Alligator mississippiensis: one gene and its partners. The protein of the gene in region 1 interacts with the protein of each later gene in a pairwise test. Links are inferred from orthologs where the notes say so. Each region holds a gene or a part of one and is shown on either strand. Other genes may lie near its edges. The genes, in order: TRIM69, IYD, FKBP1B and ASNS.

Region 1 (7,905 bases):
CACCCAACACATTCCAGGAAAGCACATCCCAAGAAAGCATATTCAGGGAAACCTAAAAGGGGTTGGGCTTAGGCGGAGCAGTGTCAATTTCAAACCTAAAGGTGCTGCATTGTAATTGTCTTATTGGATAAACCCAGGCCTGGGTAGTAACCTTTTATGATAATTTTTAACACCTTTCAATCCCATAGGGTAACAGCTAGAGGGTAAGATTGTGAGTGGCTCTAAAGCCAACAGATTAGCATAAGACTAGGTATAAAAAGTGCGTGCATCAGGTGACCAGTAGGAAGGAGGGAACAGAATGGTCATTGTTGTTCCATGCCCGGACCCCAGACTCCTGGTGTGAGTGAGGATCAGATCCTGATCAAGGGATCTTCCCTGGTAATCCCTCCAACAGCATCGATCAGGGACGCCTGACTTTGCTGGAATCACCTGGCATTGAGAGACTATCAATAAGTTGCCAACCCATGTCTGTCTATCTGTTGTTTTAAACAGCCCAGTGGCTGATACCCCCACAGTGCCCAGCTGGCCTGCGACAGATTGATCTTTCTATCTGTTGTTACTATCTGTTGTTATTATTTACTATTAGCTGTTTAATACTGCATTATCTGCTTATCATATTTATCTTTCTGTTAACTGTTGTGTGTGAGAGCTATAATAAATTTGCCTTTATTTCACTCCCAACTTTGCCTCCTTGATCCGAAACTGAACCAAACAGCCCAGTGGCTGATACCCTCGCAGTGCCCAGTTGGCCTGTGATAGAATTGATACAGTCACGGTGCCCAGCTAGCCTGTGACACCATCATAGAGGACAGTCTGGTTGTCCTCTATTGATACACAGCCGGATGCCTTTATGCCCTCTACTTTTCTCTTCAAGAAAAGAGAGGCCCCTCCATTGAGGCCCCTCTCTTCAACAGAAAAATAGAGGACGTAAAGGTATCCGGTTTCATAGCAATAGAGGACAGAGGACAGACTAGCAGAAAACTGGAATGTCCTCTATGATGGCCACCCTAGATGCTTTGAGTTTATAAAGCTTGAAAACCACTGCTCTTGAAGACCCAGTCTCACATACTACCCTCACCTTCACCCTGGGCACCCAAAATTCAAGTGTCTTATTTGAAAATCAAAACCTGTACTTATATTTTACCTGGCTACATTTTGTATCTTGGTTGCCCTAATCTAGAGCCTCCCAAACTTTCTGGACTAATAATCACTGTCAGCTCTCAAAATTGATTGCAGACCACCATGCACCTTTGTCCTAAAACTAGACTGATGCAATCTTCAGCCACAGTTTGGGAATCCCTGCCCTAATAAATGATCTAAATGACTGTAAGAAGCCCTCCCATGCCACACTGGTAATTGAACCCTAAAGCTTCAGCACTGCAAATCCAAGTCACAGCCACCTGAATTAAAGGAGCAGTCTCCCTACCACAAAGCAGTAGTAAGCTTTTATTGCCTTTTGAGGAACTGCCACAACAAACATGTGGAACCAGAAATGTACTGAATACTCCTGGTCACATGGGATTCTTTGAATCCTTAACGCTTCAGGACATTTTTTTTTTATGTAAAAACACACACACACACACACACACACACACACACACGCGTGCGCGCTTTTAAATATAAAGAAATAGTCCTGCGCTGAGTTTCACAGTGAAGGTACTGGGCCCTCAGTCATTCCTGTCCTCGGCTCGGTGAAAGCTCACACAAGAAACCCGCGTGCCCCCCCTCCAGCTAGCCCTTCTCTTTTCCTTATAATGCCTCACCCCTATGACAGCTTATTGGGCTGCATTTTTCTTCCCTGCCTGGTCTTGTGTAGGATTTTCTGTCTGAAACACACTGGAAAGGGAGGAGGCAGATGCCCTGCAAGGTCTGATCTTCTGCCCATGGCAGCAGGTGCATCAACCGTGACAACGACTCTGAGCCTTCCTGCAGGTCACACCACGACGCTTTGGCCGCAGGGTGGAAAAGCAGCCAGAATCAAGGCGGCTTCTCTGTGCTCCCTCCCCTCCTGTGCTAAGCTTCAATTCACAGCGGTACATCGTAGTGAAGGAGACAGCAACAGCGTGCAGAGCTGCTGGGCATAAAGCTAAAGGGAGCGTCAGACAGCCCAGAGCCAGACACTGGCCAACATCCAGCAGCTCTGCTCTACACATACCCAAAGCACACCTATCACCCCCCTTGCAAAGGCATCGTAACTCACAGTGCACACCCCCTGCCGGCACCTACGCCCCCCAAGCACACGCAGACTTCTGTAAATGCTCCCCCGCGCAGGTCCCGGCCAACCCTGGGGCGAGGCTAAGCGAGCCCATGGCGGAGCTCTTACCCATAGGTGACAGGCCTCAGCGAGCCTGGGGCCAGGCCCGTGTGTCTGCGGTGAGGACGCAGGAGGTGGAGGGGGCCGTTACTGAGACATGCCACCGGAAAGCGGCTGGGGGAAGGTTCTGGAACCGGGCAGCATGGAGGCAAGGACCGGGGGGGGGTGTCACAGCCCGGGGGCAGGGGCAGCAGTAAAAGACCTGGAGGCTGGAAGAGGATGGCCACTGGTCTGATAGATCCAGAGGATGCGGTTGTGATCTGGAAGGAGACCAGTGGCCATTCAGCAGCGGACGTGGCTGTTTGAGACGGAGGTGGCAGCTGACAAGAGGCACAGCGGCAGTTAGCGTGCGCTGTGCTGCCCCTGCCCTTTCCTCTAGCGCGGGGCTCCAACAAGCAGGGCCTGCTGACAGGGGAGAGGCTAAGGGAACTAAGATAATGCTTTGCCAACAATTAACATCTTAAAAGTGCTGTACAAAACTCAGCTCATCTAGGGGCATCAGGAAAGTCAGAAGATTATATAGGAAGGTCAGCTAGAGAGACTGGCAATACTGTAACAATAATGCTGGCTTCACATTGTCCTTCAGAAGTATTTCAGTGCTCCTGCCATTAAATCAGGGGTGGAAAACATACAGCTGCTATACCTGGCCTGCTGGGCATGACTAGGAGGGGGATGTAGCCTGGCACCAAATCCTGACCCCTAGGTCCTCAGTGGATATGGAGTGAGTGGGGGCTGTCTGACACAGCCATGGGCTGCCTGCAGCCACCTTGCCAGCCTCTATGACTGCAAGTGACTGCCTTGCCTGCAGCCACTGTCTCCACCATCACTGCAATGACCACCAGCGCTGCCATGCCCACAGTGGCTGCTGTCACTGTTGCCCCATGACCAAGACCAAGTCCAGCCTGCAAGGGACCCCACAGGCCAGATACATCTCAGAGCCCGAAGTGAGTTTGACATCCCTGTATGAAATAACTGAAGGGGAACCTCAAGCTCAATTTAATCACCCAAATGTAAGCTTAATGAGAACAAGCTTTTCCAGAGCTTCACCTCATTAGAAATGTCATGTTCAAGGGGCAGGTAGGTGGGAAGTGCAATGGCACCTTTTCCCACTGTTGGAGGTGAGAAGCCCGAGCTGTTCTTGCCTGCTGTGTCAGGGCTGGGCCCAGCTGGGGGTGGGGGACAGGGGCAGCAGGGATGGACAGGGATCCCCCTGCCTGCACCTGCTCCAGCCAGGCTGTTGCCACTGCCCCCTCTCTGGCTGAGCCCAGGTCCTGCTCAGCCTGGCTGCCTCTGCAGCTCCCTGAGCAGTGGAGAATGCAGCAGTGGCAGTGGGAGAGTTGTGGGGAAGGGGGAAGCAGAAAGAGACTGCCTCGAACAGGATGGGGGAAGAGGGGATTTTCACCTGCTTTAGGGGCTAAAATGAAGTCTGCCCACAGTCATGGGGGCAGAGGCTGGGAGCAGAAGGCGCAGACATCCCTGCGGTGTAAGTTGCAGCCACCCCTGTAGCATCCGTTGTTACTCCTGCACCGTTTTCAGAAATCCTGGATCCGCTCCTGGTCACATCAGATTTCATTTTGTTTAAACTTTCAAAGGAAATGGCCTGTTTCTAAAGGTGTAACGTTTCATTGCTGCATCTCCAGCCTAAATGCTAGCAAGTTCTGGTGGCACGTGGGAACTAGGGAAAACAGACTTCTAAATTTGCATTCATGTTTTTGTACACCTAATTTAGAAGATGAAGCTCAGAGACTTCACCTACACATCCATAGCATCAGAAACATTCTGTCCTGTTGCAGTCCTTCCAAAGTTCCCCGAAACAGAAGAATTCCCTTATTATTTGTTGTTGTAGTCAAAAACTGAGCAAAAGCCAAGAACTGGCTTTTTTTTTAAAAAGAGTGCCTAGTTTTAACAAGGTGGGGAACCACTAGTTTAAAGGGTTTGAGCACCACACTGCATTCAGTGCCGTGAGACTACAAGATGCCGCTAACTCAATAAATAACATATTTCACAATATTTTATTAAAATGTACAAGACAAAATGTGCTGCAATTAAGCATACACCTACCCCATCCCCAATGCAGGTAAGTAGATTCAGGACAGTACAACTTTCAAGTCTGCAACATAAGTTCTGCTGTTATGCCTTAGGCACAGAATGGATAAATTGCAAATAAAATCCAGGGATTTTGATCTTGATCTCAAGATTTACTTTAAAGTAACTGATCATTTAAAGTAGCAAGAAGCCTGTATTGTATTTGCAGGTGTTCTTTAACCTAACTAAGGTATCTAATGTCTACAATGCACTTATGTTAGTAACCAAGTGCTTCTCTCTCTCTTCAGAGAGCTCAGTGAATTTGGGCAAAAGGCCCAAATTCTTAGCTCTAGACAACTAAGTGCCAGATCAGAGTTTATGCCAGCGAATTTTCACTTCAAGAAGACCCTCACCCCCCTCCCACTTCAGAAACAATAATTCAGTATTAACTACAAAGCTATATGCATTCATTTTAAATATCAAGTAGTTGGGTGCAAGGTGACAGGACTGCAGGTTAGGGCTGAAGCCAATTTCAGAGTGCAAAGCAAGGCACAACTTCAAGACCTGAAAAGGTAAAGAGATAAAATGTATTAGTGAGGAAAATAAAACTTAGAGTAATTACAGTTATTTTAGAGGACAAGGAACTGGAAAGACTCCAAAACCCAAGCCACAATAATCTAGAATCCCAAAAGGCCTACGCTGGAGGAATGGCAAGAGGCCATCTTATCCACCATACTGAGAGAATCCCCAAATGTTTGTTTGACCTGTTCTTCCACCGCCTATGTGTAGCTTGTTCCAGCATGTCCCTGTTTTCATTAGTATCCACCCCCCACATCTACTATAAATCTACTTTGCTGCAAGTTAAGCTACACTTTTTTGTCCTTTCCCAAAACAACAGGATGAACAATTCATCACCAGACTCTTCAGCAGCCTTTTACATTCTACAAGACATGTCCCTATTCAGCCTTCTTTTCTAGACCTTCAACTTCCTCAAAGGTCATATTTTCTAAACCCCTCATAATTCTTATTGCTAGAATATCCTTCATTTGTTTACATCTTTCTTTGAGAGTGCTACCCAAAACAGTGCAGTTCGCCAGCTCCCATGTTCTGAGTAAAACCCGTTATCTCCCTGGTCTAACTATTACAGTTGCTTTTTTGCAACAGCATCATTGACTCAGAAGTTTATTTCATGCAACTTCCCAGATTCCTTCCTGCTTCAGCAAGTGTTCACTCCCCAGTTGATTTCTAACTGTGGCACTTTGCAGGTACCTTTATTGAATTTCACCATGATTTCTGACCATTTCTCCAATTTATCAAGATTATTCTGAATTCTGATCTGATTCTCCAGACAGCTGGCAAACTTTTCTAGTTTGATGTTGCCCACAAATTGTTTCTGCATTCTCTAGTCCATCCTCCAAGCGGCCATCCTCCCTATTACTGAATTAGAATCATGCCCAGAAAAGGGTCCCCAAGGAATTCCCACTTTTAGGTTTACATATAGACAAGTGTCCCAAGGTTGCTCTCTCTCCTTACAAGTCCTAATAGATCCTAATACTACTACCAAAAAATTAGAGAAAGTTCTAGGAGCAGTTATACCTCAGGAGTCTTATTCTGTAACCAGCTGTAGCTTTTGAGATCAGTTTGAATTCCTCAATGTAAGCACTGATCCCTCTAGCAGTATATTCCAAATCACATATTTGTGGAACCTTCACACAAATTAAGTCTACCCAAGCCTAATGGGGAGTCTGAAATATGCTTAAAATACACCAATTTCTATAGCTTCCTTCCATACTAGTGGTTATGTAGTAAAGGCAGCTTCACATCCAGCTGCTTTTACTACCCCCCACCCTCCCAGAACCACATACCCATACCCCCTTTACAGCTAGATCAACTCAGGACAGCATTCACCATGAGTCTAGGGACACCTGAACTTATGTCTTCTGGAACCAAAGCAAGATGCTTCAGCTGCTCTTCTACCCTTTCTCTGCTGCATACTAAACCTTACTGGTATTCAAAGGGCTAACAGATATGGGGCTAGCCCCTCTCACTCAACCACTGTAATGATTTCCTATCTCCAATGCAGTCTGCAATACACTGGAATATGGCCTATGACGTGCTTTGCAAATTCATCTCGTTTCAAAGGGCTGCTTTCTCTAGTTCCTGGAGAACTGAGGAGTCTCTAGAACGGGTGGGCAAAATACAGCCGGTGGGTCAGATGTGGCCCACCAAGGGAATCTGTCTGGCTCACGATGGGTCCCTTGGTCCTGCCCAGCCCAGGCCATGGCATGTGTGGCCAGTCCTAGCTCCCATCCTGCCCTACCCACAAGGGTCCTGGCTGGTCTCCACAGAGACCCCAGGATCATAGGGCGGTGGCAGCATAGGGCCAGGGCAGAACAGCCATACATTCCCTGCATGCATGCCCCTGCCCACAGAACCCATGCCTGTTGTAGGGCCATGTGGGGAGTAGTTTGCGAGACTGTCCTGGCTCTGCTGCATCACTGCACCAAGATCCCAGCCCCAGCCACCCCCAGATTCCAATCCAGGCCACACAGGGAGCTGTGAACTGTTGCAGTTGGGAAGAGGAGGGTGCTGATCTGGTCTATGACAGCTCACCAAGAACTTTCTACATGGCCCTTGGGCCCTAATAACTGCCCACCCCTGCTCTTGAAGGACTAGATATTGTTAGGTATAAATGTTAGGGTGATCACACTCCCAAAGTACACCACAAACATCTACAAATCTAGTGGGAGGACACCGTCTCTGTTCTTCATCCTCTGGCCCTTGCTTCCTAATGCAGGAAGCTGCACACTCCCCTCCACAACGTGAGGATCAGTCTGGTACTGAACTCTTTGACAGCAAGACAAAGAAAGCATGTAACTTACCATCTTTGGCTGAGGAAGACGGTTCAGTTATCTGGGTCTGCAAGAGAAAGTGGCAGAATATGAGACTTCCCTTCAAACACCATAAATAACCTTCCTACAAATCACAGAACACATGCAATGCAGTGCTGGATGAAGTGCACTCTTCCAGCAGCCAGATAGATGCTCAGCATAACCAGTGCTGGCTGATGCAATGGACCAGGCCACTGCCACCTGTATCTGTCTAAGACTTTATCTTAGTTTTGTTTGTTGCAATTAATTATTTTCTCTCCTCCCAACAAGCCAAGCTCAGCTGAATTCCATCCTGCCCTGCATCTCCAAACTACAACCACAAAAACCAAGTCCAGAAGCTCTTTTTAAAAAAAAACCACCACACTGTACCAGTTATAAGAGTCAATCCCACATTTTCAGGTTCAATTTTAAAAACCATGTTCCAGGGAAAAAGCTGTTGATAACTTCTGATCAAGACCTTCGATCATGGCCCTTGCAAAATCCCAAAGGACAATCAAACAGACAAGGAAAGAGCCAAAGAATTAAACTCCACTACAAATTCCAAAGCAAAACCCACATCAAATGAAAAAACATCATATGCACAAAAATACTGCAACTGCAAGTCAGGACAACAGGGAGCCCAATTATACATCAAGCCCATGTATAAATCAAAGGGTTTTTTTTTTTTTTTTTTTT
Region 2 (7,061 bases), on another chromosome or scaffold:
CTGCAGCAGCCCCAGAATCAGCCAATACTAGTTGCCTGCACCAGGGCACATTGCAGCCAGGAGTAGAGGGGAGTGGGGAGAGCCAGCTGGCGCCAGCCGCTCCCAGGGCCACTGCAGCCGGGGCTGGAGTGAATGTTGCTCTGTTCCCTATGCTTTGCTGTCTTGTGCAGCCCCAGGAGCAGCGCCCCTTCCCAACTCCCAGCCTCCCTCCCTCCCTCACTACCATGGGAACCTATCCCTATTTGTTACATTGTAAAGTGGGTTCATTTTCTGTGAATTTGATTTATGCACTGTTCTCCAGGAACACGTGCACTATAAATCGAGGGAAACCTGTATATAGGGGGAGAGAGACAGAAGTTACCTGCAGAAATGCCTGTGCAAAAACATTTAAACTCAGGACAAATGATCCTCGCAGCTGTTGCTTCTCACCCCCTTTCTTATGTTCCAGGCTATTCTATAATAATGTATTGAGGTGACAAGCATGCAGTTTGTCATCCACCTTAGCTCATTAAAGTAGATGTCATGGGTACAGTACTGTATTGTTAGCAGACAAAGACTCTGCTTTAGCACAGGTGGCCAAGAAGCGTGCTTACAAAGCAGGAGGATGTAGGGTCTATCCCTGTTATACATTACTGCACAATAAATGTGCAACGTGCCACATGTGCAAGAGATTTATGGTATATTTAAATGATGCATTTGTATCAGGCTGTAATTTGTACATGTGGCATGCCTGTCCAAACGGCTGTGCATGCAACTGGGCTGTACATGTATTTTTTAAATGTCCCAGAGCTCTGGAAAGTTGAAATCAGGGCAAGGCTCTTCAAACCTGGGGTCCTACCACCCTGGGACTTTAAAAAACTTTGTGTGCAGCTGGGCTGTTGAGAACCTGGGATCTGGGAGAGGGTTTCCAGTCTTAGGCTCCCAGCACCTTGGGACTTCCAACAACTGCATGCATGGGTTTTAAAAGTCCTGGGGTGCTGAAAGCCCAAGACTGAGGAACCTTTCCCCAGTTCTGGCACCCCAGCACCCTGGGACCTTTAAAAGCTACCCTGCATCTGAACTTGCTGAGTGGGGGAATGGTGGAGGAGGCAGACAATTGACTCCTCTCACTTAACCCATGGGCTGTACTGTACATGGCTTTCAACTTGCCAGGATGTGCAATTGTTGGGATCTGGGATCAGATCCCATTGTGCCATTAAATGAAAGTCTTCCAGCACCCTCAGTGGCCAAATTCTTTGGGATAGTGACAACCATCAAACCCTAAGCAACCATAGATTCATTACGGTAATATGCACTTCTCTAGCATCTTTCATTTGAGCTTAAACCTGTCCTTTGTGAGATGTAATGCATTTAGCTTCACAGCAACCCTGCAAGGTGCTCCATTTTCATTTATTATAAAGATGGGGAATCTGAGGTACGGGGCCACAGAGTGAATTTAGAGGCAGAACCAGGAAGATAATTTTGGAGTTCCAGCTCCCAGTTCCCACAGCCTCAAAATTATTCCATTGTTGTCGTGAAGCCAGGACTTCAAAAACAACGATGAAAAGCAAACCATTACCCCACCTCACCATCTTCTTTTGAAAAACCCAAAAAGACAAATATTGCACAGGCAGTTTTCATAGAATTGTGAATTTTGAGGCTAGATGAGGCAATTCTGATGATCTTTTCTGATCTTCTACAGACCACAGAAATCCACTGAATCATTTTTATATCACACCCATAATTTCTGGTTGAAGAAGATGTATCTTTTTAAAAACATACCTGGTGCTGATTTAAAGAATTCAAGGATGGAGTGTCTGCTACAACCTTTGGCAAGTTGCTTCAGTGGTTAATAACCCTTGCATTCATAAATGTACTTTAGTTTCAGTCCAAATTTGTCTGACTTCAGTTTTCAGCCATTGGAGCTGATGATGTCTTATGTAATGAAAGAGCCGTCTACTCTTCTCCTGTTTATGGGAGTTGGGCTCAGATTCTTATAGGTCTTTGTTCACTCATTTGTCTCTTTATACTTGTAAGTCTAACAATTAGACAGCACTGATATCATTGGGACCCTCTGCTCATCTGCTGTTTAACGCATACACCAATGGTTCCCAACCTTTTTATGCTGCAACCCTAAATTGGCCACCAACTGGACCTCCCAACCCAGCACCGTGGGGGCTGCTGGGAGTGGAGTGCAGCTCAGGGGCAGGAGCGGGGAAGCCACCATTGCTCCCTTTGTGCATGGCAGTCCTTCCCCACCTGATGCTCCTGGGCCATGTGTGTGAGTGTGCATGTGCAGGTATGTGTAGGCCCTTCGTGACCCTATTGAGGACACCCTGTGACCCTGATTTGGCTTGCGCCCCGAGGCTGGGAACCAATGACCTACACGCTGCCACCTATGAATTGATTTCACCTCTCAGTTAATGATTTGCTTATAGCTCTAGTCAAAGCTTTGAAATAGGTTTCTCAAACCTTTAGGCATGCTCTGATCACACCAAAACCAAGTGACAGCCCACCACACGGGGAATGCTAGTGAGACCTGTCTGTCTCCTGGTGGTTAGGGTGCTCCCCAGTGAAGTGGGAGACCCGAGTCCAAATTAGGCAGAGAAGGGACGATTTGAATTCAGTATCCCACATCACAAGACTATTTGCTGTTTGTGGGGGGTCCCCCCCCCCCATTTTTTTTATGGATAAGAAAAATCAGCTGTGGCCAATTATGTAGCTGATCTGACTGAAGTGGGGAGTGGGGGGGAGGTGTTTGCCAGAGATCATCACTCAAGCCTCATCTTTTTCCTTTTCATTTCACCCCTGGGTAAGACTTAAGTAGTTTTTGGGAATTCTTCCTTAGGCCTAACTCTTCCCATGCATTGTGAGCCTGAGAACCTGATTCAGATTAGACAACTCCACCAGCCAGCAGGGTGCTTAGGCAGCTATTGTATCCCACTGCTTATACACCCAAGAATTAGACCAGAAACTCTTGGGCAATTATTTATCTAACATGACCCATGAGACCCTTTCGGAGTCACAGTTCCAGGATAGATTCTACCCTAACTAATCATTAGTTGTTAATAATTAACCATCTTTAAGAGGCACCATCAATATTGAAAGTCAGAGTTCTATCTCACGGGTTTTTCTGCTTCTTGTTATAAACTAGCACGTTTAAGAAGACCGAAAGACGTTAGAGAACAAGGTTGCGTTCATTCAGGGTTTTGCCTTTAGAATTTTTTTTATACATTGGACAGTACTTTGTGTATAGTCAGTGTCACTGGCGATATGTTACTTCCTGGAAGTTAAAATAGTGTGTGTAGTCTTAAGAGCAGCAACAGAGACAAAAATGAATCAGAAGGGGCAGAAAGAGGAAGTAGAGAAGGACAGGAGGAGACATCATGTGTGAGTGGTGGAGGTCTTAACCCCATCTGTGGCAAACACTCCCAAACAAATTTAGGACACACAGAAGGGCCTTTCATCTGTCCCCCTTTTCAGCATCTGAGCAATATCTCAGCTCTAAAGAGCTGGATCCTTTCAGCCAGTGCATTGTCCATAAGCAATTACATAGGACACTCAGTATATAGCGGTGCTGCCAGCTCGTTGTAGGTTCTCAATATTTGATGCTTTTCCTAGAGTCATGACTTCAGGTTTCATTAAGGAAGAAGAGTAAATGTCTAGCCCTCATGATTGCAGAGAAAAATGTGAAACCAACACGTCCCTACATTTTTTAAAATAAGCTTATGATCTTTAGGGAATCTGACATATGGCTTTTGCAATGCAAAAGGCTTCACTGTTGAAATAAAAAAATGATACCCTAAAGATAGAATAAGGACAAGAGCAAACAAATTCAGAGAGAGGTTATGGAAGCGCTGGGAATGTCATTCTATAACTTGGATGCAGATGCAGAAAAGACACACCTGGGGGGACAAAAGAGATCTAGCTTTCTGAAAATGTCCTGATTGCTGGCAGCCTCTGAATGCAAATTAGCCATGCTAGAGCACTACTGCCATCAGAAATGTTTGCCTTGAAGTGGGAAAGCAACCAAGTCTGAGCACTGAACTTTCCTCCTTCACTCCACATTTTGTTCCACCCCTTTTTCTCATCACCCTCCAAACAGTCCCTATTTCCTCTCTTTCTTCTTGGAAGACAAATTGTCTGAGGAGGAGGAGGAGTACCCCCTTCTCAATTTAACTCTTTGACCATGGTACTCTTTTCCTCCCTGACCCCAGTCTTTATAGCAGTGATATGTGTTTTGATTGGGATAATTCTGAAAAACACAAGGAAAAGCAGCAAGAAAGAAAAGAGTGATACTAAAAACAAACCAGAATCTCACCCATGGGTGGATGAAGACTTAAGAGACAGCACTGACCTTCATGTAGAGGAAGACGGTAAGGAAAATAGCAATCAGCATAGCACTTTTCCTGTCTGAATTTTCTGTTGATTTGAATAAGGGAGACATGATCCTCTGGACTACTGAGTGTGCATACAGCTCTGCAGCTACAGTGCACTTTCCTTAGCAGGGCAGAGGTCATACATGTCTGCTTCTGGCAGAGAAAGTGACAGTAGTAAGGACTAGTCAACCCAATTAGCTTTAAAAAAGTAACTGGGGGGTCTAATTGTTTGATCCTGTAGCAAAACCTGTGAGAGGGGGCTAGAGAGGAGAAAATGAATACGAATTCCCACTGTGGAGGTCTCCCATTCCTTATACTGGAAAGTGGGGTTTGACCTCCTGTTGAACAGGACTTCTTGATACTCCTCTGCTTACTACTTCTCTGCTTACTCAAAGGGGTGGTGTGTCTCTACTGTGGAAGCAGGATGTAGGGCTGTAACAAGTTCTCAGTGTATATTTCTATTCTGAGCTCTGAAGAACGCACATTTCCTTAGTACCATCAATACCCCTTTTCCCCTCTTGAGCCCCTGATGGGTAGGAAACCCAACATCAGATATGGAGAAAGGAGGGGTTCTGCAAAAGCACATGTGTTTCCATCACCATAGGGATCTTGGAGACATGATTTTATCTGATTTTGTATGCTCTGAAATTATACATTGCTCATTATACTTTTATCCTGCTCATTGCTATCATTGGCACAGTGTGTCTGTCTGACCTGCCAGCTCATTTCCATTAACTGTTTATGAATATGTAAAGTATATGTATTTTTCCTTCAATTACAATAACTGGCTCAGACATGCAGTCCTCAGCCGTGCATATGCTGATAACCATGGGGCCTTTAACTGTTTCAGTATTATGGGATTGAACTCTATTTGGAGACATTTTTAGGGTCAAATTTTCAACAAATAAATAAGAACCTAACTAACAGGGTCTCTGTCCTTGCATGAAGTCTCAAGGCTGCATGAGTAGATCTGATACAGAATTGGGCTATAAGTGTGTATGTGCACAAAAGGCACAGTCCTTTCTGCTCTTAGAATATGCAGTTTCCCCTGTTTCTTTGTAAAGCAAAGCTGCAGAATTTTGTAAACCCTTGAGATAAAGAAGGGCTTTTGTTTTTCAATTCTCATTTAATGTAACCACCTTTCTTGACCAAATCATTTTAAAGTTTTATGCATAGGTTTGCACCCCAAAATGATACCCACCCCAAAGCCAGGTTTTCTAGCTCATATAAAACTTCAACCTGCTTTCTGCCTCTGCACATGCTACTAATCAACATTTAATTTTTACTTCACTTTGGGCCAGGTTCTACTTCTACTTATTCCCCAACCAGCTGGGGGCTCGTGGCTAGCTGCCGCTCTCCTGCAGCTTTTTCCAAGCTCCCTGCCCCCTGATTGGGGAGCCAGGGCTGGGAACTTCCTGCTGCCAAAATAGAGGGACATGGTCCCCGCCTGGGTGCTGCCACCAGAGCCTGCTCGAGGCAGCTGGCAACTCCTGGGGGCAGGGAGCAGTCTCCCAGTCTGCTCCAGGAGACAGCTATCTCCTGACCTGATGCTTCCTGCCAACCCCTGGGCTGGCTACTGCAGGGGGCCAGTGTAGGGCTGGAGCAGGCAGGAGCAGACTGCTGCCAGTAGAACCAAATCTGCTCCCACATCTCTGCATGTGTACGTGCCTGTCCAGGGTGGGTTTACTCTGCCTACAAAGTTGATCCTTTCCAGTAATTTTTGCACTCCTCCTTTATCTGTAGCGGGTGGCATGTTTGTAATGGCTTTAACCCTTGCAGGATCTATGTGCACCCCTTTCTCAGAAAGTTTTTCTCCTAGTTATGTTATTTCTTTGACCCTGAATTTGCATTTTTGTTTGTTCAGTTTCAAACCTGCTCTGCGAGTTCTTTCTAATGCTTTTCTTAGCTTCAAACCATGCTCTATCACAGTATTTCCCCAAACTAATACATCATCAGTATAACCATGGTTCGTTCAATCAAGACCTTGAAAAATGTGTTGCATCTTTCTGTGATACAGTTCAGATGCAGAACACAGTCCAAAGAGAAGCCTACAAAAGCAATACCTTCTTAAGGGTGTATTGATGGTATACAATCTAGTGCTTTCCTTTTCTAGGGGAACTTGCCAAAACCCAGAAGAGGTATCCAAAGTGGACAAATATTTATCTTCTGCCACATTGACAAAAACCTCTTCCCTGGTTGAAATGGGAAAATGTTCCCTTTTGATGTACCTATTCATTTGCTTAGGATCGAGACACAATCTCAAGGATCCATCTTTTTTTCTATTATGACCAGTGAATGAACCTAAGCAGTTGGATGCTCGACTTTTTCCTATTATGTCCATGTTAACTAATCTATTAAATTCCTTTTTCAGTTTCTCCCTTAGTACAAGGGGAACATTTCTTGGAGCGTGTATAGTAGGAGTATTTGGTTCTCTTAATTCTATCTTGTTCTCAGTTGGCAGTTTCCTGAAGCCTGGAAACACATTATAAAGCTGTTCTTCTAAGTTCTTGCTTTCTAATCCCTCAATGGCATCCATTCTTTTAATCAAGCCTAGAGTTTTACACATTTGCAGCCCAATAATTGGCATTAGCTTTCCTGGGACAGTTACAAACTGAATTTTTACTATATTACCCTTGTGTCTAACATGCAGTGCACGAATACCCTTAGTTGCACTCATGTTCCCATTATATGCTCTAAGTTTCA
Region 3 (7,929 bases), on another chromosome or scaffold:
TTGTAGGGAGCCACGCCTCCAGAAGATTCATCAGAAAAGTATCAACAATGAAACAAAGGGCTAAAGAGGGGCAGGGGAAGAAAAAAAAAATCCAATTTGAAATGACCAGTAACTCCTAAAATGCAAGACAGTTTGGACAGAACATACAGAACATGCTTACCTGTGTAGTGTACCACACATGTCTGACCCTTCTTTGGAAATGTCCTCCCTGTTGAAAACATAAAATCTAATTAAAAAAAAAATCTTTGGTAGCATGCCTGCTCACGATCAGCTTTTAGAATGAATGGGACGAAGAGGCTAGGCTGGGGACTAAATCCAGGGCTGGTTTAGGTCTGAGTGACATTTTATCCAAACGGCCAATATCCAGAAGGGAGATAGGTAACTATAGCTTAGGAGAGAGAGTTCCCGTTATGATCCATGTTTAGTTTTGGGAATAATACTAATATTTTCTCATAATATTGCCTTTTCCTTTCATACAAGGATACCATATTTTACACTTACTGTAACATTAGATGTTCCCCATCAATGGACTATATCCTGCTGTTGCAAGGGGAGTCTCAAAAAGCATAATGGATAGATCATGTTCTTAAATTTCTCTGAGCCATTTTGCTGTCATTCACAAACAAAATCAAACTCTGGGATAGTGGTAAAGTTCGCTGTTAGTATTCATAATTCAAATGCCATATATTTAACATTACTTTCATGAGAACACATGCAATTAGTAAATGGGAAAGCTTCCCAAAAATCCTCTCTCATACAATACAAATGCATTTTTTAAATTGGCAACCTTGAGGCACTGATATCCTGAAGGGAGCTCTTGAAAGCCCCTCTGTAACAATGGTTATTTTGCCCCTTGTTCTGACACTAGGCATAAGAGAGTGTTTGAATAAAACACTTGCCATTGTTGAGAGTTACTCATCTACCCTAGGTTCTGCCAGCAGGCTTGGACAGGCATACAAAGCTGCAGGGAAATTTTCCAGGACACATCCAAAACTTCCAAGTAGCAGCAGATTAAAACAGATACCACTGATTTGCAGAACTGAGTTGGCAGGCACAGGACCCAGGCTCAGCAGAACTGATCTGCAGTATATGGGATGGGATGTACTAGTGGAGAAACAACCCAAGCAGGAGCTTCAGAAGTTGGATATTAAGGCAGGATCCTGCGCCAACCTCCATGATGGCCTTCTGTTGTCTCTTCCGTCTGAGTTTCGTGTGCTACCACAGCATGCTTTATTATCAGGTATGATCTGAGACGGACAGTTGTACACCAGAAACAAATAGTAGGAGGAGGGCAGCAGAAACGGTACGCAAGTCAAGCACAGATTCCTAATATATAGCCATCAGTAGTGAAGAGGTTTCCAAACCTTTTACAAACTGCCTACTCTGTTTAGACTGGAAAATGGCAGCGACTGCTTCTTATGATACATTTGTATAACACCGAGAACAATGGGGCTGGTAGCTAGCCATAGCTAATGCTACTGCCACCCACAACAGGCCCCAGGCAAAGGATATGCTATTAGATTCAGAACTAAATGAGAAGGAATATGGCACCATTCATCTTTGACCTAATTTCCACTTTAGTAAAAGTAGGTGTTATGCTAAGAAATTCAATGGACCTGTATCAGTTTGCATGAGGGCTGAATTAGACCCAAGGAAGCCAAGACCACTGACTACAGCAGAATGACTGTCGAATAGATCTGGGGCAACAGTACATACTAATTGTGGTTTGATGACACTGTTCAAATCAAGCAGTTTAGATGAAGATTTACAAACCAAAGAAAAGATATTTATAACCTTAATTTGAACAGCATCTCCCATAGTTAGCACATCTCTGTATACTGCACAGGTAAATAATACAATTCCAAGACTAAATTCTATCCTCAGCACCACTTACAATAGCTGCCCTTCTTCCATGTATGGAGATCCCCCAAATTTAGGGCAAATGGGAGCATCATTTGGCCCTCAAAGCTAAACAAAGCAGCAGAAGAAGAAAATGAAGAGTAGAAAAAAGCTCGAGCCAAGAAAGGTAATCCAAGGATGAAGCTGGCCCCTTCATACAGCTGTATATTAGCGATGGTATTTATCTTCAGAGGTAGTATGGTGACGCTACCAGCCCAGAGCAGAGCAGCCCTGACTTGGTTGTGAAAAAGTGATCTCATAAGCTAAGATTCACGTTCAGTCTAAACTTGAGCTGCCCATTGCAAACCTGGGAGAAATGGTCAGGCCTGTCAAAATGCTGCTGCTGCGCCAAACATTGCTGCCATACCCAGCCAACGGCTCATGAAAAACTTTGGAAACACATTTGGGAAACTCTGGGAGCCTGCACGTGAAAGGCTCGCTTCGACCACAGCTACTTGCACGACTGCAATCGTGTCTCACGTTCATTCCCACGCTCTCCCCACAGGAGTCAACTGTAACGTGGAAAAGTGTAACGTGGGAACAGGAGTGGTGTCAGCAGACAAGTGCCCTACAAGCTGTCTTGCTGCTGCTGCCCCAAGGATGCCTCCACCAGGATGGGCTTGGGAAGCCAGCCGGCGCTCGCTGCTGCCTGGGGGCTCCCGCACGTTGAGCGGGGAAGCGCGCTGCGCTAGCATTTGCTCTCGTTACCCCCGTGCATGACTTCACCACACTTGGATTTATGCAGCTGTCAGCAAATGCCATTTAGACAGCCCGGCCCTCTGGCCACGCAAGGGGCAGCCGCCCGCTCGCACCCACAGACCCTGCCACAGCCACGCCAGGGATGCGCCCACCCACCTGCTCCCCTGCAGCCCCTGACCGCTGCGGCTCTCCTCTCGCCAGCGGATGCCCCCCCCCGCTCCAAGTGCTCGCAGCCCCTCTGATCCCACGTCCTGCCCCTGCCCCTGCCCCTGCCCCTGCACGGTACCGTCTCCCGGGGAGATGGTCTCCACATCCACGCCCATGGCCACCGCCGCCGCCGCCGCCGCTGCAGAGCCCGAGCCCGAGCGCCTCGTCCCCGGCGCGGCTGCCCCGACTGAGCGCCAGCCCCGGCCCCGCCGCCGTCACCGCCGCAGCCAGTGCCTCCCCCGCCAGCGCGGGGCGGTCCCGGGCTCAGGGGGGCGGGCGCCTGCTGCTGCTGCTGCTGCTGCTGCTGCGGCCGCGGCCCCGGCCCCGGCCCCGGCCTCTGCCCGCGCCCGCGTCGGGGTGCCGGGGCAGGAGCGGCGCCCCGCAGCCCCTCGGCAGCTTCCCGCGGCCGCAGCCCGGCCGGGTCCAGGCGGTGGGAAAGGGGGGACCCTCCAGGACAGCCCGGGGGTCACCAGGCACGTTGGCGCTGTGTGCCATGGGCACGTTGCCACTCCAGAAGCCCCCCGGAGTAGATTCAAATCGAGGTGGCGACCCTAAGCCAGCTCGGATCACCAGCCCCACTGCAGCTTTTCAGAGCCGCAGCCTGGGCTGATCCGGGCTTTGGGAAAGCGGGGCGCAGAGGGCAAGGTGCATCCTTCCCAGAGGAGTGGTGGGCGCTCAACCTTTTTTTGTGCCAGGGCCCATTTGCAAATACTGACGGCCAGTCCCGACCCAGGGCCCCTCACTCCTCAACCCCTGCCCCCAGGTCCCAACTCCAGAGTTCAAATTACTGGGGAGCTCTGCCCCCCCCCCCCCCATCAGAGACGAGAGCCCCTTTGTAAGATTTGAAAATCATAACCTGGAGGATCTCCAATTTTATTAGGGCATCATGATGTGCAGGCCTATCTTTTGCAGACCCCCACAAAAGTCAAAGCGTGATTTGAACCCTGCCCAGCCCCCAAGTGTATGGGGTACAGGGTGGGTGTGAGGGACAGGCAGGGGGCCTGAAAAGCCTCAAGCAGCCCCTAGAACACGGCACAGGCCTTTGCCCAGTTTAGCCACAAGCTTTATGATGGGCTAGGCGCCTCGGGCAGGATGGTTCGCTGCCAGACTGAAGTGAAGTGAAAACAAACAGAACTCCACTGAAACCAGTGGGGCCCCCCAAGGCTCTGTCCTAGGACCTATACTATTTAACATCTTCATCAATCATGTGGACATAGGTGTCAGAAGCAGACTGGCCAAGTTTGCTGATGACACCAAACTCTGGGGTAAAGCATCCACACCAGAAGACAGGCGGGTGATCCAGGCAGACCTTGACAGGCTCAGCAAATGGGCAGATGAGAATCTGATGGTGTTTAACACCGAAAAATGTAAGGTTCTCCACCTTGGGAGGAAACACCTGCAGCATCCTGATAGGCTCGGCAGTGCTACACTGGCTAGCACTACAGACAAAAGGGACTTGGGGGTCATGATTGACCACAAGATGAATATGAGCCTTCAGTGTGATGCTGTGGCTAGTAAAGTGAGCAAAAAGCTGGCTTGCATCCATAGATGCTTCTCAAGCAAATCCCAGGATGTCAACCTCCCATTGTACTCAGTCTTGGTGAGGCTGCAGCTGGAGTTCTTCATCCAGTTTTGGGCTCCACAATTCAAAAAGGATGTGGAGAAGCTTGAGAGAGCGCAGGGGAGAGCCACACGCATGATCAAAGACCAGGAAAACAGACCTTATGATATGAGGCCGAGAGCCATGGGACTCTTCACCCTGGAAAAGCACAGGCTCAGGGGTGATCTGGTGGCCACCTGTAAGTTTATCAGGGGTACTCACCAGGATCTGAGGGAACATCTGTTCACCAGAGTGCTCCAAGGGATGACAAGTTTGAACAGTCATAAACTCCTCAATGACCGTTTCAGGCTGGACATAAGGAAGAACTTCTTTACTGTCTGAGCCCCCAAGGTTTGGAATAGACTGCTGCCGGAGGTGGTTAAGTGCCTACCTTGAACACCTTCAAGAGACATTTAGATGTTTATCTTGCTGGGATCCTATGACCCCAGCTGACTTCCTGCCCCTGGGGGAGTGGGCTGGACTCGATGATCTTCTGAGGTCCCTTCCAGCCCTAATGTCTATGAATCTATGAAATGAGTTAGGAACAGCTGGCTGAGCTGTGGGATAGGAGCTGTGCCACCAGGAGCCCAGACAGCAGAATGGCAGAACAAAGGCTGGTTTGATCCTAGAAAGGTCAAGACCATTAAAAAAGAGAGGCTCCATAACACCCATGGAACAAAGAGTTTAGAAGGGATCAGGTAGACTGCAATGAGCTGTGAAGTCAAGGGACTCCTTTGCTGCTGCCTGAATAGAAATGCTGCTCATGCTGCCAGACAGTTGGTTTTAAACTTTGGGTGGAGCAGAAATCAAAGGGGGGTACAACTGTACCACTGCCCCCCCTGGATCTGCCTCTGCCTTGTGCTCCCGCACTGCTTCTTGATGGTGATCTCCCCTGGGCCCCCACTGCCCACTGCCCTCAGTTATTAGCCATTTCCATTGCTGATTGGAAGGGGAGAGTCAAATTGAAAGGGACAGTCACTGGGGTGGCCATGCCAAGCATGCACACATAAGGCAGAGTATTCTTTGGCAAATCTAGGATTTTGAAAGGGGGACGTAGGGGCAGATGGCCTGGTGCTTCACCATATGCAACAAAAGACATGTTTTTATCCAGGTAAGAAGAAACTAGAAGCTTTAATCTGCTAGGGGCCTAGGGCCATATTATTCAGTTTAAGATCAAAGCAAAAACACATATAATTTTATTGGCATGTGTGTTAATTTGCTATATTATTTATTCTGTATAAAAAAAATCAGCAAACTAGGCAAAAATAATGAAAAAAATGTTGTTTCTTCAGTCCTGCTGTCATTAGAACTAAATGTGCATCTCTTTTAGATTTATAAAACAAAATCTAGCCTTCTGGAGCATCTTGACAGTACATCCAGTATTTCACTGAAAGAAATTTCCACACCTCAGCCGATTTTCATGTACTTTTTTGTTTGTATGGTCTGAAACAGGCACTAATATATATTTCAAGCGTGGTAGTTCACAGAGAAAAAAAATCTGTTTTTAGTAGGCGTTTTCCCCCTATCATGTTGAATTAAAAGTTGTAAACACCGTGACAGATATGTACATACTTCAGGTACCTCTGTAGATCAGAAACACTATATTCCCTTAAGTGATTTTGTACATGAATCTCACCATTTCCATTGGCTCTGAGGGGATCATTTAACTGATCAATCTGTGTTTCCTGGCCGGTGAGTATACCAATGACATTTGAATTTTAACTGTAAGATATTTTAACTGGATTTTGTTCCCATTTACTTCAAAATTGTAGGTCTGATATTTTACTTCTGTGTTTGGTCTTGTGATGAGGCCATCTCGAGGCCGGTCCAATTGTTGGCCCACCCACCTGTCTAAGGCAGTTTACCCTGTCTTGCCTGCCACACCTTTGATGTTTCCAAAAATAGGTGTTTATAAGCAGGAGGCTGCACATTTGGTTGCCCTGATGCCAAGGGCAAAATACACAGCTCCAAACCTTCCCTTGCACCATGTCATATGCCTTGCAGATCACATCCACAAATCACTTCCAACTCCCCCGGCCCCATTGCTGGGCCACACTTGGACTCTGGCCCAAACTTTGCTTCAGATGTCTTCAGACGTCCTTGGCCACATACCCCTCACTAGGGCCTCTACTCCAGCTGTCCTACATGCAGTCCTTCAGCCCCCCACAGACCCTACTCTACATGGCTCCAGCTGCCACTACTCTGGCCAGCCTATGCACAGTCCTTCAGGCACCCACAGACCCTACTCTATGTGGCCTCTGGCTTTCTGCCCCACACTGGGCCAAACTCAGCCTCTAGCATCTCTCTTGTCCATTACTCTACCCCTCACCAGGGCCACTACTCTGCCCCTCACTGGGCTGCTGGGCCTTATACCCCATGGGCCTCAGATCCTGCTAGATAGACCTTGGCCCTGTCACAGGTCCCACTCTATGGGCCTGGACCCTGCCTCAGACCCCACTCAGTAGACCTGGGTCCTATGCTCTTCTGTCGGGGTATGCTCCCCTAGCCTTTCCCCTCCACAGGATACCCACAAGACAGCAGGGGCTGAGGCTTTTTGACACCCCATCCTTGCCTTTCACTGGGGAGGCACAGGTGTGGCATTTCCTGGGAAGTGCCCCACCACAGGCAGCCCCACCACACCATCCAACCCCAGCAGGGTGCAGTTTCAGGTCACTGCCCAGGACCAGGAACCTCCTTCCTCCCCATAGTTCCTACCCTGACCTTCAGGTGTTCTGGGAGCTGCAGGGTGGATGATGTTGCTCTTCTGGCTCCCTAGATGTCATTACCAGCTCTGCTCCTACGGCCTGGGCTTATACTGGGGCTGCCTGGCCCTTCTCCAATCTGAGGACCCTCTTGCAGTCAGATGACCACCCAATTGGGCCTAACTGCACCTGCTGGCTGCTCTATAGCCTGCTCAAGCCCCTTAAAGTGGCAGGCACCAAAGGTGCCCTGCCACAGCTCTATTCATTGATGGCTGATCTGTGCAACTGTTGTCAGTTTGCATTATATTGTAAATAGCCCTGAATCCAAACTATGCAGTGCGTTAGTATAGCAAATTACTGTAGTATTATTTTACTCCTATTGGAATCAATTGTATGTAAGATATGTCATAGCTATGTTTGTGTGATGCCCTAATTACTAAGCTATTCAGCAAAAAAAGTTGGAAGACCTTTCTCCTTCTCCTCTAGGGGCATGTCTACACAAGGTAAACTGCAGAGTTGCCTAATTAGCTCCACATTAAACATCTCAGCATCTACATGTGTGGCACTAGTAGGCCACAGGAAACTAATAAACTCTGCAGAAAGTTAGGACTTGTAAATACAAGTATTATCCTGCTGTGGAGTGTTTTCATGCACAGCAATGCATGTGTAGACACTGACCCAGCTAGCTGCGTTATAAGACTGTTTCAGTGCAGGGGCTGTCTGCCAGCCAATGCCCTGCTGAAGCACCCTCGTGCTCCAGCCAGCCCCTCTGCAGCATGGTGAGCTGGGTGAGAGCAGCTTCAGGCTGGCATGCAGACCCCC
Region 4 (7,480 bases), on another chromosome or scaffold:
TGCAGATTGTCTGCATCCCTGATAAAATGGGATGCAACTCTAGCACCAAATGCTTGTTTCGGTTTAATAAGCTGCATTGACTAGGAGCTTCCTACACCTGTTCTTCACTCAAACATTATGCTTACTCCTCAGAAACTACTTTCTACTCCCTAAATTTTATGGCATTTTCTACCCACTTAAAACCCATGCATTGTTATTCACTTTACAATTGCTAGGACCCTTGTGCATCTCAAAACATTGTTGAAGTAGGAGGTATTCTTAAAGTACAATCAAGTTACAGATGCATTTTTCTTTTGAGCACGCAGGAGGATATCAAAGCCAGATTTCTTTGTAATACAACTACAGCTCCACGAAACTACTTTAATTCCTCCTCTACCATTTATATACAGCTATACCTAACACACCAAAAGCATTTGGATTAGATGTGGATAACTTGCAGTGTCCATTCTCAGCCCCAAGAAGAGAGGCAGAGAAAGTTAAATTGGAATACATACCTTGACTCTTAATTTCTTGCTTGTGGGAAGATAAGAGTATCCCTGAACAGTTTAGCAGGGCACAACACCCCACAAGGTGGCCTTAGCCCTGCATTAAGGAAGTTTGGGCAGTTATTAAGGTCCTTTTCCCAAAATTCTCTTTCTTCAAAACTGGAATAGAGCATACTAAATCCATCATTCAGCCTTTCTTCCTACAAATACAAACTTTGGCAGCTCTCTTTTCCTAAGCCAAATGAAGCAAGTTCAACAACAAACAAACAGTCCCTTGTGCTCCATTTCCCTTTATAACAGTGTCACAGGGCACCCTGGTGCCTGCTCCTAGAGAGGAGAAACTGCCAGGGAGAGAGCCCTGGCAGAGCCAATTGAGCACAGCTGCAGGTTGCCGGAGCAACTAAGGGGAGCCAGCTGCCTGTAGGGGGCAGGGCCTGGCCCTTATAAAGCCCAGGGCTGAGACTAAGCTGGTAGTTCTCTGTCAGCAGTCAGAGAGGCAGGAGCTCCTGAGGCTGACAGCAAGTACTGCTGGAGCAAAGGTTAAGCCATGATGTTAAGTTATAGCCAGGTGGCTTTGGGTTGTGTTTGGAGTTATAGCTGGGAGGCTTGAAGTTGTGTTTGTGTTATTACACCCGGAGGCTTGGGTGAGGCTGTAGGGGTTGGAGGAAGCCTCAATCATAGGGACCCCAGAGAGTGTGGGGTGCCCTAGTGCCAAGAGGGTGTGTTGACCTCAATCATAGGTACCTCATAGGTGCCTCATATAGGGACCCTAGAGAGAGTGTGGGGAGCCCTAGTGCCAGTGAGGGTGCAGGCTAGCGCCAAGGGGGTGCATTACTTTCATAGCGCCAGTGAAGGCGCAGCTTACACGCCAGTGCAGGAGCAACTGGTGGCGAGGAGCGTGGCCAGTGGGTCGTGGGCGCAACCAGTAAGTTGCAGATAGGGGACATAAACCCCAGCCCCAGAGCGAGGGGCAATTTCATTGAGAAGCCCCATGGGGGCACGGCAAGCCCCCAAGAGGGGAAGCGCCATACTGAGCAGCCCGAGAGTGGGGCCATACTGAGCAGCCCGAGAGCGGGGCGCTGTGGTTGCCCCTGAGAAGACAGGGAGTAGCAGCGCAGTGAGCTGGGGTCAGAGAGGGTATCTGTGCGGTTGGCCAGGGAAGGGCCGAGGCCCGCTAGAGAGTTCCTGAGCGGGACCACACCGTCAGGGAAGGCCCAGAGTGGGCTAGGCAAGAGTCCCAGTGAGAGGCTGGGTACTAGAGAAAGCCCAGAGTGGGCTAGATCATAGAGGAGGCCCAGGAAGCGGGCATGTTGACACACCAACGTCTATTACATCTGTGAGGCTTGGGGCTGGTAGGAGCCACGCATAGCCCATAAGGCTAGGGTGTCTGAGGAACACCCACCGTATCGGGAGACCTCCAGGGGTCCCGGAACACACCGGGGCAGAGGTCCTGAGTAGCCATGCCCAGGGAGTCATAGGCAGCCTCCCTATTACGTTTTCCAACAAGACATGGTGGGCGAGAATTAGAGGGTGCCTTGGGCCGGCCTGACATGGAGCAAGGGACCTCGAGGAGATCATGGCCCTCTGAGAGGACCCCGCCGTGACAAACAGTACAAAGCACAGCCTAGCCAATAACTAAAACAAGTAAAGACTCAAACCAGAGTAGGTCTGTAGTCAGGGTGGCAGCATTACCTGTGTCTAACAACCCATTTCCTTAGCTCAGTCATTTCCTTTAATGCTTCCTGTTGATTGCTGCTTCTTTATATCAGTATGAAGGAGGACAACTGAGACTTAGAAGCTCCCTGGCCTAACATTTGATTTTTTCCAGTTTGGAGCTCTGAGGCTATATGATCCAGCTACCCGTTTATGCCATCTCTACCATCCTGGTCATACCAGAATGCTGTAAAATACAGTTCTCTAACGGAGATGGTCAGAAACATCATAATGATAACAGAAAACGCAGATAAATCCCCTTCTGCAGGGAAGTCAGCCCAACCAGCACTCAGTTCCCAGGAAGAAATTTTGCCCAAGCAAGACTATACCCAGACCCAGGCTTTATCCATGGCAGGTTAGGGTGTTATGTGTTGCATCAGGGCTGATGGTAGTTTTACAAAGAGTTTTGATTATGCATTGTATGGGATGGCTTGGATAGGGATGATCCTGCCCCAAGCCACAGGGGTCATGCTTACTAGATGACTTCTGGAGGGCATTTCCACTTCTTCTCTTATGATTATTGCTGGTTATCTTTTTTCTCCAATGAAATGCCAACCTGGAAGGCTCTGACATTTACCACTGTGAAGAAAGAGTGCCTGTAAAAACCATGACACATGGGGGGAAAAAAAAGACCTCTGAAAAGCATTTAACTGAGAGGACTGTTTGCTAGCACTCTGTGATCCTTTTAAATGGTAGCTGACACTGTGCTTCCCAGACAGCAACTGTAGGCTTTACTAGCTCCCCAATCCCCCCTGGTGCTGCCTGGAATAATACCAGCCTCCTAGTTTTCTCCAGAAATACAGGACATCACTGATAGAAGGAGCAGATTGCTTTTATTGTAGCTGATCCTCCAGATACCTCAGAGGGAGGAGTCTCTCTCTCTCTCTCTCTATTCCTCTGATCTTTGACTTCTCTCCACTGCTCTTTGAGATGGATTGAGGCTGAAGTGGGTTTCTTATTCCTAGTTCTTAGTTCCTTTTCCAAAACTAATCATTACACAGTTAAAAGCTGTTAGTAACGTACTAGACATGCAAAAGAGTTAGAATTTCATCAAAAACGTATATTTACTAAAAAATGTAAAATAATATGCATCAGTAGTGGAAACAATGGACATTGCACACAGGCCTGGAAGACTGTCAGTTGGAAGGTTTGGGGGTGTTTTTTTTGTTTGTTTGTTTGTTTGTTGGGTTTTTTTTTTGTGTGTGTTTTTTAAGGAAATGTTTTTGTGTTCCAAGTCAGATCAGCCAAATCAATTCCAAATCCATGAGTCATTCAAGAACCAGAAGTGGCCCTATTACTGGAAAACATCTTCCACCCTTGCCTGGAGCTTCAAATACTTCCAAATCCTTTAGCAGGCATCTTACGTGCAGGTGGGCTTGGGCTTCAGATCATGGGTGACTGGTGCCTCCCGAGACAGGGATGGGGCACCAGATTGTGGATTTGGGGGGGGGGGGGGAGAATCCCCCATGATCCCTGAGCCAGCAGCAAAACCAGAAGTGCACTTCTGCTGGCACTTCCAGTTTTGCAGCTGGCGCTTCCAGGGGGAGCAGGGCTGATCTCATTGGCCTACGTGTCACCAATGCTTCAGATGCCCGAGTTTGGCTTGCCCTTGGCCCTACGGCCACAGGAACAAGCTAGGGAGGAGATCCCCATTTCTATAAAGTCATCAAGTAGCTGAGATCCTCCAACTGGAAGCTGGCCAGCGGGAAGCTAACTATGAGGCTCTGGTAGGGAGTCCTGTCTGCAAGCAGACAAGGGTGCAACCCTCCACTACACAGTGCCGTTTTAATTGCACTCCCTTGGTCAGGGTTTCCCTTGCCACCATCGTGGTCATGGTATCTCCCCAGCTGGCAGGTGAAAACTGAGCTTTGGGTCAGGTACTGCCCTGCCCCAAATTCTCCAAGGCTTCTCTGGATGTGGAGATGTGCAGGCTGCGGGGAGCTGAAAAAACCCTTTGCCCCATAAGCCCAGCCCCTTATTCAGGATCAAGTATTTGATGCATGATGCGCATCGTAGAAAATGAGGGTTGGGAGGGACCTCAAGAGGTCACATCTAGTCCAGCCCCGTGCTCAAAGCAGGACCAGCCCCAGCTAGATCATCGTATTATCTGACATGGTTACTAGTAAACGCACACTGCTGATGACACTAACCCTGCGGCCTGTCTAATTCATTACTAACAACCTGGACGTGTGCACAGATCAGCTTTGAGAACCGACCCAGGCGCTGGGAGCGAGAGCCAGCTTCCTCGGGCGGGGCGGGGCGGGGCGGGGCGCGGCGCGCCGCCTGATGAAATCCAGCCCCGTGTTTCAGCAGCGCCGGGAGGAGGAGCCGGTCACTTCCCGGTCGGGACCAGCAGCGGATCGCTCCGGCTCACGCGGAGGTAGGGAAGGTGCTGGGGGACCCCGCGGGCGCAGCGCTGCGGCTCCGGCTGCCGCCCCAGCCCGCATGGCCCCAGCGCCTGGGCGGAGCGGGGGGCCGGCAGCCCGGCCATGTGCTCCCCCCAGCACGCACCAGGGATCCGGCGCTCTGCCGCGTTGCATCAGCCGGCGGCGGCGGGAGGCCGCTCGTGCTCGCTGGCTGCAAGGAGCGCGGCGGCGCCCGGGGGCGCGGGCCGCCTACCACCAAGGGGACTGCTGAGGATGCAGCAGCTGATTTCTTAGGACAAATGGGAGGAGGACAGAGTGGATCCCAGGTTAACAAGGAGGGAGCCGGAAGGGCACGGGGAGCAGGCACCACGGCCCCCTGAACGCTTGTGGGTGCCTTGAGCAACCTCTGCCCGGAGGGGGGCGGGCAGGCGCTGGGGAGGGTTTGTCCTGCCTCCGCTAGCACCTGGGGACCTGCTCCCCCCCAGGACGGAGAGAGCAGCAGGTGGAGGGTGGTTTCAGGTCCTGCCCGGCCTGGGCACTGGCCCAGCCACTGCATTCGGTTTTTGCAAAAATACTTTTGTTCCTGAGGTAGGAAGATAGCCTCCCCCCACCTTTCCTCCCCTCTCCCCCATCAGCCTGGAAATAGCCGAGAGCCCAGCAATGAATCCCGCAGCAGGGGTTGCTGTCATGCACAAAGTAAGTGGGGGAGGGGAGGGTATTAGAATCCAGTTGAATTAAAACTCTTGCTCATTAAGGATATGGGCATGCCCGAACAAAATAAGTGGAATGAGCTACCTCACATTTCCATGAGGTAAGCAAAGGGATGAATTTACAGCATGTCCAGTGCTCTGTAACAAGGGCTGCCATGCAAGCTCTTCACTTTTGTTAAACATGAAGCGGCTTCTCTCTGAAAATATGTGGAATGAGTTTTGTTTTATTTATTGCAGGATTAGAGTATGCATGTGGGCAGTGAGATGACAGCCAAAAAGTTGCCATCATATAGCACTTGTTCGCTGGAGGACTCTGCTTTTTCAGCCAGGGTTGATTAATGTAGATCGAGCCATACTCTAGGTCTAGACTAATCTCCTGTGTACAGAGGCTCAGTCCCTTGTGAATACTCTTGATGTGGCCCATGACTGTGCAGTCTGCTAAGAACATGAGGGGCAGAACAAAGCATAGAACATAAGTCCAAGAACATAAGTCTTGGACGGGTTTAAATGTAGTTTAAACCACAAGGCCAGGTGTAGACATTACACTTACTACTATAATTGATGGGAAACTGGTCTGTACCCATAACAGAACAGAAGCTCAGCACAGTAAACTGGTTTATACCTGTAACAACAGAATTTTGGAGCGCACAGACTGGACTAAAAATGGCAGAACCTGGTTTTAGATTTGCACCCTGACCCCAGAGGGCAAATGTGTGTTCTGTTCACAAGTGTCCAGATGCCCAAGCCAGTTTAGAAAGGTATAAACTGTTCAGTTTAAAGTGTCATGGAAAGTGACCAGCACATCCTGGTTTTTTTGTAACTGCACTGTGGGAGCCTATAGGGACATTTGAAAGTCCCTAAAGCAGGTGAAAACACTCTCTCCCATCCCCTTCTTGCCCAGAGGTATTCTGTAACAGGAGGGTGGTCAGGGTCACCGTGCTGTCCCTTGCCACCTCCTTTACCATGCCAAGGTGCCGACTCACACCCTCCAATTTTCCTGCCATGACTTTGATTTTATATATTTCTATAGGGAGGCTGCCTTCTGTCTTCTTGGCCACGGTTCTCCTGTCTTGGGTGTTCCGTACACCCCAGCTGTGCGTGGCTCCTACCACGCATGTACCACGCCCCAAGCCTCGCAGGTGTAACGGACATTGTTCTGTCTCTCTCTCCCTCTCTCTGTCTCCACGCCCCCTCTGGCACTTGTGTTCTCTGCAGCCCTGTCTCTCTCCATGCCCTCTCTCCGGGGCCACCTTAGTAATGCTGCCCTCTCTCCAGGGCTCACCGTGCCTGCACTGGGGCTTCTCAGCAGTGCCCCCTCTCCAGGGTTCCTCAGTAATGCTGTCCCCTTCTCTGGGGCTTCTCCACAATGCTGCCCCCTTCTTTGGGGTTGGGGTCTGTGCACCCCAAATGCTGCACCCTCACTGGCACTGGGGTCTCCACACCACTGTGAGTCCCCTATGAGGCCTCCCTCATCCCCTGATAGCTTCACCCAAACCACCAGTGACAAACTGCAACACAAACGCAAGCCCTTCAGCTATAACTTAAACAGAAGCTGCCTGGCCATAACAACGTTCAAGCCTACCGGGGATTCTTCATCTCACAGCAGTTACATGCTGCTCCTGCCTCAGGCTTCTCCTCTCTCCCAAGACAGAGAGCTCCTTCCCTCTTGCCTGCTGGTAGGGAACTACCTCTGGCCTTGCCCCTGGGCTTTATATGGGAGCCAGGCCCTGCCCCTTCTGGTCAGCGGACCTCCTCTGGTTGCCCCGGCAACCAACAGCTGGACTCATTACTCACTGCTAGGGCTCTTTCCCTAGCAGTTTTCTCCCTTCTTAGGAGCAGGGCACCTAAGTGTTCTGCGACATATGCCTTCTCCCCACCCCTTCCCCCCCTGCCTTTCCTCACTGCCTGGGGAAGCACCAGATCTGTTCCTGCCTGCATGGGGGCTAGGCACAGCTGGGGATGCCGACAGTGACAGCGTGGGAATGGACAGAGGGTTCATCTTTCTCATGCGGTGACTGAGCAGAGTGGGGGGAACTGTTTTCCAGCCACCCTGTGGCTACTGTCCCACCCCCAACTTGAGCCCAGCCCCAACTTGTCCCTGATGGCTCTGGAGCTTCCTTGCCCCTCAGCAGTAGAGAAAGCAGCAGCAGCAGCAAAGAAAGAAGCAGCAGGAGTTAGGGGAGGATGAAAGGGGCTGCCTCTGAGA

Evidence for each region.
Region 2: the proteins of TRIM69 (region 1) and IYD interact in binary tests that used the Homo sapiens proteins (3 or more experiments, as listed by UniProt). The two-hybrid records come from large-scale screens. The link is inferred for Alligator mississippiensis from reciprocal best matches to the Homo sapiens genes TRIM69 and IYD.
Region 3: the proteins of TRIM69 (region 1) and FKBP1B interact in binary tests that used the Homo sapiens proteins (3 or more experiments, as listed by UniProt). The two-hybrid records come from large-scale screens. The link is inferred for Alligator mississippiensis from reciprocal best matches to the Homo sapiens genes TRIM69 and FKBP1B.
Region 4: the proteins of TRIM69 (region 1) and ASNS interact in binary tests that used the Homo sapiens proteins (3 or more experiments, as listed by UniProt). The two-hybrid records come from large-scale screens. The link is inferred for Alligator mississippiensis from reciprocal best matches to the Homo sapiens genes TRIM69 and ASNS.

What each region holds. Positions count from the first base shown.
Region 1 is NC_081834.1:40,908,412-40,916,316, reverse strand, and holds the start of TRIM69 (E3 ubiquitin-protein ligase TRIM69), read right to left. Parts: upstream 3,019-7,905; 5' UTR 2,324-3,018; intron 1-2,323. Other genes in the region: B2M (beta-2-microglobulin), read right to left, coding at 7,245-7,258.
Region 2 is NC_081824.1:129,388,350-129,395,410, forward strand, and holds the start of IYD (iodotyrosine deiodinase 1), read left to right. Parts: upstream 1-4,046; 5' UTR 4,047-4,168; coding exon 4,169-4,355; intron 4,356-7,061. UniProt on the Homo sapiens protein: Catalyzes the dehalogenation of halotyrosines such as 3-bromo-L-tyrosine, 3-chloro-L-tyrosine, 3-iodo-L-tyrosine and 3,5-diiodo-L-tyrosine.
Region 3 is NC_081824.1:15,854,947-15,862,875, forward strand, and holds the start of FKBP1B (peptidyl-prolyl cis-trans isomerase FKBP1B), read right to left. Parts: upstream 3,016-7,929; 5' UTR 2,922-3,015; coding exon 2,885-2,921; intron 209-2,884; coding exon 161-208; intron 1-160. UniProt on the Homo sapiens protein: Has the potential to contribute to the immunosuppressive and toxic effects of FK506 and rapamycin. PPIases accelerate the folding of proteins. It catalyzes the cis-trans isomerization of proline imidic peptide bonds in oligopeptides.
Region 4 is NC_081828.1:171,293,461-171,300,940, forward strand, and holds the start of ASNS (asparagine synthetase [glutamine-hydrolyzing]), read left to right. Parts: upstream 1-4,473; 5' UTR 4,474-4,484; coding exon 4,485-4,578; intron 4,579-4,799; exon of another isoform or gene 4,800-4,890; intron 4,891-7,480.